3 linked regions of the Oryctolagus cuniculus genome follow. The protein of the gene in region 3 interacts with the protein of the main gene of each other region in a biochemical or structural test. Links are inferred from orthologs where the notes say so. Each region holds a gene or a part of one and is shown on either strand. Other genes may lie near its edges. The genes, in order: CBX1, LIG1 and EHMT2.

The links.
Region 1: the proteins of EHMT2 (region 3) and CBX1 form a complex in vitro, tested with the Homo sapiens proteins (2 studies listed by BioGRID). The link is inferred for Oryctolagus cuniculus from reciprocal best matches to the Homo sapiens genes EHMT2 and CBX1.
Region 2: of the proteins of EHMT2 (region 3) and LIG1, one has a biochemical effect on the other in vitro, tested with the Homo sapiens proteins (3 studies listed by BioGRID). The link is inferred for Oryctolagus cuniculus from reciprocal best matches to the Homo sapiens genes EHMT2 and LIG1.

What each region holds. Positions count from the first base shown.
Region 1 is NC_091448.1:24,363,261-24,366,904, forward strand, and holds part of CBX1 (chromobox protein homolog 1), read right to left. Parts: intron 3,248-3,644; coding exon 3,071-3,247; intron 2,757-3,070; coding exon 2,579-2,756; intron 1,995-2,578; coding exon 1,900-1,994; intron 1-1,899. UniProt on the Homo sapiens protein: Component of heterochromatin. Recognizes and binds histone H3 tails methylated at 'Lys-9', leading to epigenetic repression. Interaction with lamin B receptor (LBR) can contribute to the association of the heterochromatin with the inner nuclear membrane.
Region 2 is NC_091449.1:9,771,239-9,775,491, reverse strand, and holds the start of LIG1 (DNA ligase 1), read right to left. Parts: upstream 2,940-4,253; 5' UTR 2,807-2,939; intron 1-2,806. Other genes in the region: uncharacterized protein ZSWIM9, read left to right, coding at 3,085-3,277, 4,116-4,253.
Region 3 is NC_091436.1:138,654,189-138,657,660, forward strand, and holds part of EHMT2 (histone-lysine N-methyltransferase EHMT2), read left to right. Parts: coding exon 1-19; intron 20-111; coding exon 112-213; intron 214-1,848; coding exon 1,849-1,953; intron 1,954-2,057; coding exon 2,058-2,212; intron 2,213-2,295; coding exon 2,296-2,463; intron 2,464-2,785; coding exon 2,786-2,930; intron 2,931-3,049; coding exon 3,050-3,127; intron 3,128-3,467; coding exon 3,468-3,472. UniProt on the Homo sapiens protein: Histone methyltransferase that specifically mono- and dimethylates 'Lys-9' of histone H3 (H3K9me1 and H3K9me2, respectively) in euchromatin.

The sequences.
Region 1 (3,644 bases), on a different chromosome or scaffold from region 3:
GCTCCGACCGTTGCGGCTAATTGGGGAGTAAACCATCGAATGGAAGACTTCTCTCTCTCTCTGCCTCTCCTCTCTCTGTGTAACTCTGACTTTCAAATAAATAACGAAATCTTAAAAAAAGAAAACAGATATGGGGGACCTGAAGCATGCTATCATTTGTTGACAAATGTACAACACCCTGAGTTAAGTTCACTCCATCTCATTGACCAGAATGCTGGCAGTTTTTGGAAATGGGCCAATACCTCCGCTCTCCAAAAGAAATCATTAAAAAAGTTTTATACTCCATTATTCAATCTTTTTTTTTTTTTTTTTTTTTTTTTTTGGAAAAGCAGAGTTAGAGAGGGGAGGCAGAGAGAGGGAGGCTCCACTTCTGACCCGGCTCTCTGCTATGGCCTGGGATAGCAGTGGAATATGGCCCAAATCCTTGGGCCTCTGTACCCGAATGGGAGACCTGGAAGAAGCTCCTGGCTTTGGAATGGTACAGCTCCAGCCATTGCAGCCATCTGGGGAGTGAACCAGCAGTTGGAAGACCTCTCTCTCTGAGCCTTTCTTTCTCTCTGTAGCTCTTTCAAATAAATAAATAAATCTGTAAAAAGAAAGCAAGAAGGAAGGAAGGAAGGAAGAGAGGGAGAGAGCAGTCTTCCATATTCTGGTTCAATCCCCAAATGGCTGCAATGGCAGGAGCGGGGCCCTTCTGAAACCAGGATCCAGGAGGCAGAAGCTTATTCTGGGTCTTCCATGAGGGTGTGAGGTCCCAAGGACTGGGCCATCTTCTACTGCTTTCCCAGGCCATAGCAAAAAGCTGGATCGGAAGTGAAGCAGCCGGGCAGCTTTACCTGCTATGACACAGCGCTGGCCCCCCAACATTCAATCTTAATTTGTAGACGTAGTAGTGAGTCAACCAAAGGAATGTAGTCTTAAGTAATATAAACTACTTTAATTCACATGATCACATGCAGAGAACATGCATTCTAGCTAAATAATTCCTGGTATCAAATCTCCCATAAGCGACACATTTTGAGGATGGCACTGTGGTGTAGTGGGTAAAGCCACCACCTTCAGTGTGACATCCCATATGGGCATTGGTTCGAGTCCTGGCTGCTCAATTTCTGATCCAGCTCTCTGCCATGGCCTAGGAAAGCAGTAGATGATGCCCCAAATCCTTGGGCCCCTGCACCTGCATGGGAGACCCGGAAGAAGCTCCTGGCACCTGGGTTTGGATCAGCCCAGCTCTAGCCATTGAAGCCATTTGGGGAGTGAACCAGTGGTTGGAAGACTTCTTGCTCTCTGCCTCTAATACATAAATAAATCTCTTTAAAAACTGTAAGATTTTCAAGATAAATGTCTTCATTAAGTAGTTTGATGGGGCATTACTAAAACCATATTTACACTTAGAATGAATGGAAAAGGCAGCCTTGCACTATGCTCATGAACAGGAAAGGGGTCCTGCTGACCCCTGCTGGCTTATCCTGGAATTGCACAATTTACACAAACTAGAAAGGATTGATCAAGGACAAAGGAAGAGCTACAAAAATTCTTTGCTAACGCTGGGAAGAGTCTGTGATCCTGCAGCCAGCCAGATCTTTAAGGAGGTGGTAAAGGGGAGGGTGGTCCAGTCACATTTCATATTTTCTTTCATCATGTACAAAGTGAAATGTGATTTCTTCCCTCACCCTCTACAATTTGGATTTTTTTCCCACCTCCTCAAAAAACCAGGCAAAGATCAAGAATCCTAAGAGCCCCTACCTGTAACTCATGAGTTCATTGTGGCAGTCAGGCCGAGGGTCACTATCGAAGGACTATGTCATCTTAAAGATTTCACACTTGGGCAACTGGAATTTCGAAGGTCCAGCTCGTTTCTTCTGGCATGGAACAGATGGGGATTTCTTGCAGACTCACCATTTCATCAGGAACATGAGTTCTCCACTTGAGTCTGTAGCTCCAATGATCCGTTCCGGCTCCAAACCCCGGGCAAAGCCTCGTGGCTTTTCTGACTGTAAAAACCAGATAGGTAGAGCAGTTTGATCTATGTGGAACTGTCATCCAGACTGGAGTCACTCCCATGTCTGCTTAGTGCAATTGCATACCCTTTTGCTAACAGATCATCGATACTTTGGCTCCTAGTAACAGGCCTTTTGGAATCCTTTGGAGTGATTCATCAAGGTATGAATGCTTGAGGTTTCCCATATATGAAAAGGAATAGACTCCAAACAGCAGACTAAATGTTTACCACGACTGTCTCTCCAGGACTTCTCTTCACCCTCAAAAGACAACTGACCTTAAGGTGTTGGATAAATCAAAATTGTTACCACAAATCATATGCTTAATCAAATGATTAAAGCTATCTATTTACAGGAATCGTTTCATTTGCCCTTATATCTGTCCTCAAAAAGTATTATACTTGTTATTCCTAAAGCCTGGATAATGAGGGTAGATCATAGGGTTTCACAGGAGATTGAGAGGAAATGCTTGCTAAGATCTGAGGAGACATAACAAAACTTAATTATTTGGTCTTCAGAAGCTTCTTTGACAGTACTATCAATTCTGGACTAGGAAAAATCCTTATTTCAAGCCTTACCTCTTCTTTCTTCTTCTTTGGTTTGCTCTCTTCTCCCTTATCTTCAGAATCAGAATCAGCTTTGCGCTTGCCTCCCTCTGACTTATCTGTCTCATGTGCTGTTTTCTGTGACTGCAGAAACTCAGCAATGAGGTCAGGGCAATCCAGATTCTCTTCTGGTTCCCACGTATTGTCTTCACTGAAACCAACCACAAGGTACAGCAAGTCACGTTCCTTCAAAGTAAGTATACTTATACAAAGGATATAAATACAGGGAGGACAAGAGGAATTAATATTAATGAACAGCTACTTTTTGCCCAGGACAAAATCAATTTTCTTTGCAAAGAAATCCCTATCTTGCTTTTTCGCACTATACATGTAGGTCATACTCTTGTCAGACCATAAACCATGAAAGCCATGATTCATTTTTTTACTGCATCTATCACAGCTGTGTATCATTAGATTCCCAATAAACACTTGATGACTAAATTCACCTGTGTCAATGAAACTTACTCTGAGAAACCTTTCCACTTTAGGAGGTACTCCACTTTGCCCTTTACAACTCGACGGTCAAGAACTTTTTCCACCACATATTCCTCTTCCTCCTCTTCTAGCACCTCCTCCACTTTCTTCTTGTTTTGTTTTTTCCCCATGGTGCCCGCCAGCTTTCTGGTGTAAAGGGTGACGCTGCTAAAATGGTAAAAGAAATAAAATGGGCATTAGGGTTAGATAAATATCTGAATGTTTGGAAAATCATGGAGATCAGAGGGGACTTTAATACTGCATGCTACTTATAATGTTATGCCTATTTTCAACATATAAAAACCTTTTCTGAAATGTTCAGCTACAGAGTTAGCACTGATAAAACTTTTTTATTCTTGCATATTCATTTAAAAACTTTTATATACATGGGCCAGCATCCCATATGGGTGCAAGTTAGGCTGCTCCACTTCCAATCCAGCTCCTTGCTAATCGCTGGGAAAAGCAGTGAAGGATGGCCCAAGCGCCTGGGCACCTGCCATCCATGCGGAAGACTTGGAAGGAGCTCCTGGCTCCTGGCTTCAGCTTGGACCAGCCCCAGCCATTG
Region 2 (4,253 bases), on a different chromosome or scaffold from region 3:
ATAGAAAAAGCAGAACAATGACATCAGAAACACGACTTTCCCCTTCAAGAAACACTCCCGTTTTACAAGTCACGACGCCCCGCTAGGAGACCAGGGAAGACTGGCTCTCTCTCCTTTACAACTTCTGCAAGCCCAGATAAAAGCAAGCAGAACGAAGGGCACTCATACAGAAAGTTCTAGAAACATGAAGTAAGCAACACTGCAATATGAAACAAACACCAACCACTCGACCTCAGAGCGTGCCGTGCTCAGACGGCAGGCCATACTGGACTCTCGCTCTGCTAAGAGGAGAGCAGCGCCGGCACTGCCCTTGGGAACAGTCTGGTGGTCTCTCACCTACCCCATGGCTCCGGACACTGCTCCCCCCACTCCCAGTGAAACCCTGCGTCCACACAAGACCCTGTGAGCCAAGGAGTGCTGCAGCTCTGCCGGCAAGCTCAGAGGACTGCGCTTCCCGGGGAGGACACACGGCGGCGCGCGTGAGCACAGCGCGCCTAGCTCGGGGAGGCGGCGAGGTTTGCTTCCGTAAGAGCGACAGCGACCGAGACCAGCTACGGAGCAGACACTGCTGTGGCTGCGGGGAAGGCTGTTGGCAGACAGGGCAGGGCGTCTGCCGGGGGTAACGGACGGAGTCTTGACTGTGGTGCTTATGTGACTGTTTCCCACTCAACATTCACACCAAAGGCTGTATTTTACTGTACATCATATTTAAAAAAAAAAAAACAAACCCAAACCCTGGATCCCCACTGACTCGCTGCCTTCTCTCACACCCCAAACTCACGCAGGACCAAGTGGCATCGGCTCTGCCCCCAAATACTAACGGACAAGCAGCCCCTCCTGACCCCCCGGCTGCGGCTGTGGTGGGGGGGCGTGGACCCCACCATGCACTCTCCACTCTGGCTCAGCTTCCTGCCAAAGCACACTCTACCCTGGGAGGTGGCAGGTGATGGCTTAGGGTACCTGTGTCCCTGCCATGCATGTGGGAGACCTGGATGGAGTCCAGGCAACTGGCTTCAGCCTGGTTCACTCCTGCCTGTGGTAGGCATTTGGGGAGTAAATTAGCAGACAGAAGATAGCTGTCTGCCCTTCAAGTAAAAGAAAATTTTAAAAAACTTAAAAATTTAAAACTGAAACTTGAGTCACAAAAAAAGTGAAACGCGGGCCCGGCGCTGTGGCGTAGCAGGTAAAGCCGCCTCCTGCAGGGCCAGCATCTCATATGGACACTGGTTTGAGTCCCAGCTGCTCCACTTCTGATCCAGCTCTCTGCTATGGCCTGGGGAAGCAGTGGAAGATGGCCCAAGTCCTTGGGCCCCTGCACCTGCGTGGGAGACCCGGAAGAAGCTCCTGGCTTTGGACCAGCTCAGCTGGCCATCTGGGGAGTGAACCAGCTGATGCTAGGCCCCCCACCTCTCTCTCTCTGCTTCTGTTTCTCTAATTTTGCCTTTCAAATGAGAAATAAATCTCTAGAAAAATCAAAAAATAAAAATACATGCATCAAATGCCTCCCATTAAAAAAAAGTGAAATGTACCTTGTGAGACTCAGGAGCTAAGTCTCTTGCTCTAATTAGTTTACATTTAAGTAGCTCACGTGGCTAGTGGCTACCGTATTGCGCAATGTGGGGCTAAAACCCGAGTTCCTGGAAGGTACAGATTTTGTCTATTTCATTCAGGGACGTGACCGCAGGGCCTAAGCAGTACTTAGTACTGCACGCATTGGCCAATACATGCTTTTTACCCCAAATTAGGGTAGCAGAAACATCCGTCCATGACAGTTCAGGGTTGATAAGCAGGATCTTCCAAGCCCGCAGGCTGTGGAGTGGAGCCTACGGGGTCTTTGGTGAACGGTCCGTGGGTGACAGGCGGGGACGGCTGAGCCCGCCTTTCTCCCAGTGCACACCCTGCCCGCCTGCTCCCGGAACCACATCCGACGTTCCGTTCTCTCTCCCTGAGCAGGCAGTTCTTCCTTCCACGGACCAGAAGGAAGCTGGCAGGATCAGGGCTACCAGGCGGGCCACGAAGCACACCAGGGCGAGGCCCCAGCTCGGAGAAGCAGCTTGGATTCAGGTCTAAGCCCGCCGCCCCTGAGTCAGCGCTGCAGGCTGGGAACGCCCAGGGGACCCCCGCACAAAATGCAACCAGGGAGGCCTCACCCAGCCTGGACCTTCCCACCCACCCCTCGAACCCCGCTGCGTGCTCTCCCCTGGTATCAGATGCCAGGGCCCTCTCCCAACGCCCCTCTTCCCCTCTGCACTGCCCGCCCCCTCGACCCTCCCAGCGTCCCCTCCCCGGGGGACGTCAAGACCCCGCCTCCCTGCCCGCCCCCTCTAGCCTCCTCCCCAGGGTCTGGCCCCACGGGCTCCGCGCCCTCCGCTAGGCCCTTCTCTGGACTCGACCACTGACCTCCCTCCCGGTGCCCACCTGCGTCCAGCCCGGCCCACCCCTGACAGCCGGCGCGCCGCACTAGCTCCGCCCCCTGGGCGGTGTCCAAGTCCCACTGCCCACGCCCACCCCACGCTGTCCCGGCCCCGCCCCCTCCGGGCCTCCCACGCCCCTCCGGGCCTCTTCGCCGACGCCGCGGTCGAGCCCACGGCCGGCGGCCGCTGACTGCCGGGCCTCGGCCTGGCTTGTCTCGGCCCCGCGGCCGGCGGCCCCTCGCGCGCGCTCTCCCCTCGCGCCCGCGCTCTCGGCCGCCTCAGGCGTCCTCAGCGGCCGCTGCCCGACAGACGCCCCGACCTGACGGAGCCATGGCCCCCACGCTCGCCGCCCCCAGCGACCTCTGCCCCCCGCGCGGGCCGCCCCCACTTGCCTGGCGCCGGCCCCGCGCGCCGAAATCCCCGGCACCACAGTCGGCCCGGCTCCGCGCAGCCCCGCCGCCCCGAATTCGCGCCACGGAATTCGCGCGCAGAGACGTCGGCGGGCGGGGGCGGGGGCGGAGCCGAGGGGCGTGGTCCGCCCGCCGTCGCCGCCCGGAGGACGCTGGGAGTTGTAGTCTTCCGAACTAGAGAGCCCTGAGAAGGGGTGAAGTGGGGTGAGCCCTCCCGCAGAGCATGTCGGGAAGCGGCCCCGCGCCTCGCCTCGCCCTAGATGAGGGGTGGTGTAGCTGAGTGTCCCAGGGGTGGTGACTGGCGGAGTAAGAGGAAGGTTGAGGGGGAAGCCGCCGCGCGAGGCACGGCGGGAAGAGAGGCGAGAAGCAGCGCGGGGCATCCCGGGAGCAAGGGCCGGGCCGGGCTTCAGCGCGGGGCATTGTGGGAAGTGGACGCCGCTCCGGGGTGGGTAGGTGAGTGGGGGGGGCGGGAAGGGTGCACATCTGGGGGAGCGGAGAGGCGCAGCTGGGTGGGGCGGCGGGGCTGGGAGGGGCCGCGGCGAGCGGGGCTGAGAGGGCTTGGGGAAGCGGGAGCCGGCGGGCCCGAGCTGCAGCGGGTGGGAGGGCGTGGGGGCAGCGGCTGGGGGTGAAGAAGCCCACGCGAGGACCGAGGGCCATGTCTAGAAAGAAGAGGCACGTTGAGGGGGATGGTGGCGGCGGCGGCCGCTGGAGCTGGGGGCCGCGTCTCGGAAGGAGGTGGAGCAGCGATGGACCTCGGTGACACTTTTGAGTTGGACGAGCCACGAGTGGGGCTCGCACCTGTAGGCAGAGGCTCCGTGGCCGACCGCGGGGCGCGCACCTGGAGATGGGAGCGCCCTGGGGCAGCGGGAGCCGCAGGGGTTGCCCGTGGAGGAGTTGGGGGCGGCAGCCGCGCCTGGGAGACCACAGCTGGGGCGGAGCCGCGGCAGGTGCATGGATAAACCTGGGGCTGGGGGCCCATCGGGAGGTGACAGCGGGCGGAGGGGGGGGAGTTCCGGTTGTGCAGGGGGCGGGGGCCCTGGCTAGAAGTCCACACACATCTAGGGCGATGTTCTCGTTCCTGAACCCGTTTCCAGTTAGAATATTTCAGCAACACAGCACTCACGTCCAGGTTACCCTGAGGGCTTTATTCGTTGTTCCACTTGGGTCTTTCCAGGGGTCCTAACACGGGGGACGCCGGGACATAAGGGGTTAAGGCTCTGCTTGGGAAGGGGGACCGAGCAGGTGGGGCCGGGCCTGACACCCAGCGCCTCTTCCCCGCCCCCTCCCCCAGGCCCCAGGATGGAGCCGCTGCCGGAGCCCCCTCCCCGCGCAGCGGCGGCGGCGGGGCAGGAGGAGCAGGAGCTGCTGGAGCGGGCCTTCTTCTCCTGGGCCGAGTTCAGCCGCTTCTTCGACGCGTGGTGCCAGCAGC
Region 3 (3,472 bases):
CGGCTGTGTCTACAGCAAGGTGCGGCCTGGCTGGCTGCAGGCACAGCCAGCGGGAGTCGGGGCTGGGGTTGGGTGCAGCCAGATTCTCACCCATGTGCGTGTCTCCCTCAGGAGGAGGATGGCTCCACCTGCCTCCACCATGCAGCCAAAATTGGGAACCTGGAGATGGTCAGTCTGCTGCTCAGCACGGGACAGGTGGACGTCAATGCCCAGGTCAGCGGCCTGAGCTGCCCGTCCCGCCCGGGCGCCTGGCCTCAGCAGGGGCCTTTGGGCCCCCGTTCACTCTGTGTCAGGCTGCCTGGGTCTGTGCCGTCTCTTCCTCTGCATTTCTCTTCACCCTTTTTCTTGCTTTCTTCCTCTTTATCTTTTTTTTTAATTAATTAATGTATTTATTTGAAAGGCAGAGATACAGAGGCAGAGGCAGAAGGAGAGAGAGAGAGGTCTTCCATCCACTAGTTCACTCCCCAAATGGTCTCAATGACCAGAGCTGGGCTGATCTGAAGCCAGGAGCCAGGAGCTTCCTCCAGGTTTCCCACATGGGTTCGGGGGCCCATGCACTTGGGCCTTCACCCACTGCTTTCCCAGACCATAGCAGAGAGCTGTATGGGAAATGGAGCAGCCAGGTCTCGAACCAGCACCCATATGGGATGCCGGCACTGCAGGTGGTGGCTTTACCCACTATGCCCCAGGGCTGGCCCCCTCTTTATCTGTTTTTAGAATGAGTTCCTGCCTTAACTTCTTTTGTTTTCATTATTTACGGAATACTTTATTAGTTCTGTAATCAAACCCATGTAGATAAGACCTTACATATTTAATACAGTGCGTTATCCCTGTACAAATGGGAAAAAAATTAACATTTCTAGACCAATGTGGCTGTTAGTTTCTGTACAGTGCTAAGTCAACACGGTAAACTGAGATACTGTTCTCAAAGTTGACAGCACAGCTGCAGTTTCTAAAAATTAAATTACATTTATGTATATATATAATTATATTTCTGTAAAAAGACCAGTAATAGCAGAGTGTTTTGTATCAATAGCAGAAACAGCTTTTCCAGTTTCTGCAGTCATTTGAACCAAATTATAGGGACATCTAGCACACTCCATTTAAAAAACTAAAACAAAAACCCCTCAAACAGCAAAGTCCTGTTACTGTTGTGGTACCTGGCACCGTTTTTTTTTTATTAGCTTCTCAGTCATCATCGGGAAAGAAAGCATTCTAGAATAACATCATTAAAAACAGCTCTGATAAAGCACGGTCACTACGACGTGTCGTGAAGCAGGTACAAGATGCTTTGCGCTCCCAGAGGTATGCTCCAGCACCGTCTACACCTGCAGCACTAGAGGGTCCGATTCAGGAGCGTTGGCGAGCTCCCTGCTGCTCTCCGGCAGAGCTGCCTAACTCCCAAGGCGTCCAGTGTGACTCTTAGTAACTGCCGGCGGAGGTGTTTCTGTTTTATTCTCATTCTTGCCGGCCTCGGAATCGCGCTGCCTCTGTCCAGGACTGGGCTCTCGAGGTGGGCTTCTGTGGCCTTTGACCTGACCTCTGCCCTCTCCGCAGCTTTCCTGCCCCAGACTCCGTTTTGCTAAGAAACTTGGGTTCCTTGACCTGGGGAGTATTTTATAGGAAACACAGCCCGGGTTCTGACTCCTAGACTTTTGAGCAGGCAGACTTAGCAAATGCTTTTTTTTTTTTTTTTTTTTTTTTTAAAGGAAAGCACTCGCTTCGTTGCCTCTGCAACCTTGGATAGTAGTCAGGGTCCTACAGCTTGTGAGTGGTGGAGCTGGGACTCCCAGTCACTTGGGCGCCAGGGTCAGCCGCTCCCCACCCTCACTGGCTTCCCACCCGCAGGACAGCGGAGGGTGGACGCCCATCATCTGGGCTGCGGAGCACAAGCACATCGAGGTGATCCGCATGCTGCTGACACGGGGTGCCGACGTCACCCTCACTGACAACGTGAGTGACAGTTTGCTCAGGGTGGGAGGAGGCCAGGCGGAGGCTGGGCCCTGGGGCTCAGCGGCCTGCAGCCCAGCCCTCTCTCCACCCCACCACCTCCCCAGGAGGAAAACATCTGCTTGCACTGGGCCTCCTTCACCGGCAGCGCTGCCATCGCTGAGGTCCTCCTGAACGCCCGCTGTGACCTGCACGCCGTGAACTACCACGGGGACACGCCCCTGCACATCGCTGCCAGGGAGAGCTACCACGACTGTGTGCTGTGAGTCCCGCCCGCCCGGCCAGCCCCGCCCCCTCCGCCCCAGCCCCACCTACCCGCTAACCAACCGCCTGTCCTCGCCCCAGCCTGTTCCTGTCGCGCGGCGCCAACCCCGAGCTGCGCAACAAGGAGGGGGACACCGCGTGGGATCTGACCCCGGAGCGCTCCGACGTGTGGTTCGCGCTGCAGCTCAACCGCAAGCTCCGGCTCGGGGTGGGCAATCGCGCCATCCGCACGGAGAAGATCATCTGCCGGTGAGCCCCCGCCCCAGGCCCCGCTGCATCCTCAGAGCATCCCCAAAACCCTCCCCGTGCTACGTCGAATCCAACCGCTGCCCTAGCCTCCCTGTCCCCCACCCCAAGCTAGGACAGGCAAATGCATGCTTGGTTGACATAAGGATGCCCCTGCAATACTTGGGACATGCTTATGCTAAAGTGTCTTTGCTTGTTCACCTGAAATTCAAGGTTAACTGGGTGTCCTGCCTTTTATTGGGCAGACTTCTTCCCCACGGTTCTATCAAGCCGCCCCTGGCTCCCTGCCCTGGCCCGCAGCCCCGTCTCCCCCCTTCCCGTGCAGGGATGTGGCTCGAGGCTATGAGAACGTGCCTATTCCCTGTGTCAACGGCGTGGACGGGGAGCCCTGCCCTGAGGATTACAAGTACATCTCAGAGAACTGCGAGACGTCCACCATGAACATCGACCGCAACATCACGCACCTGCAGGTGAGCGGGGCCCAGGGGCCTCCCCGAGAGACCTGTGGGCTTTGCAGGCTGCGTCCAGCTGGGGGCGGTGCTGGGAGCCAGTTCTGGAGGTTGAGCTGGCCCTCTGCCTCCCCTTCCAGCACTGCACGTGTGTGGACGACTGCTCCAGCTCCAACTGCCTGTGCGGCCAGCTCAGCATACGATGCTGGTATGATAAGGTGCGTGCCCGCAGAGGCCCGGTCACTCCTGCGAAGGAGCTGGCCTCTACTGCCAACTCCCCAAGACCTTGCTTCTCACCTGCTGCCCCCTTGGGGGAAGTGACAGAGAGGGCGGGGCGAGGCCTGGGACAGTGCCAGGACTGTGCCAGGTATATGCAGATCAAGGGTGTGGCTCGTGCATTTCCTGTTCTCTGACCTCAGAGCCTGTGTGAGGCCTCCCCAGCCTCCCCGTCTCTGGGTTGGGGTCGGCAGTGGCTTTCTCCCTGGAGGCGTGGGGGTCCTGGGCAGCCGAGGTGCACCCCTACTGAAACCACTTTCCTCCCTTCCCTCTGCATCCCAGGATGG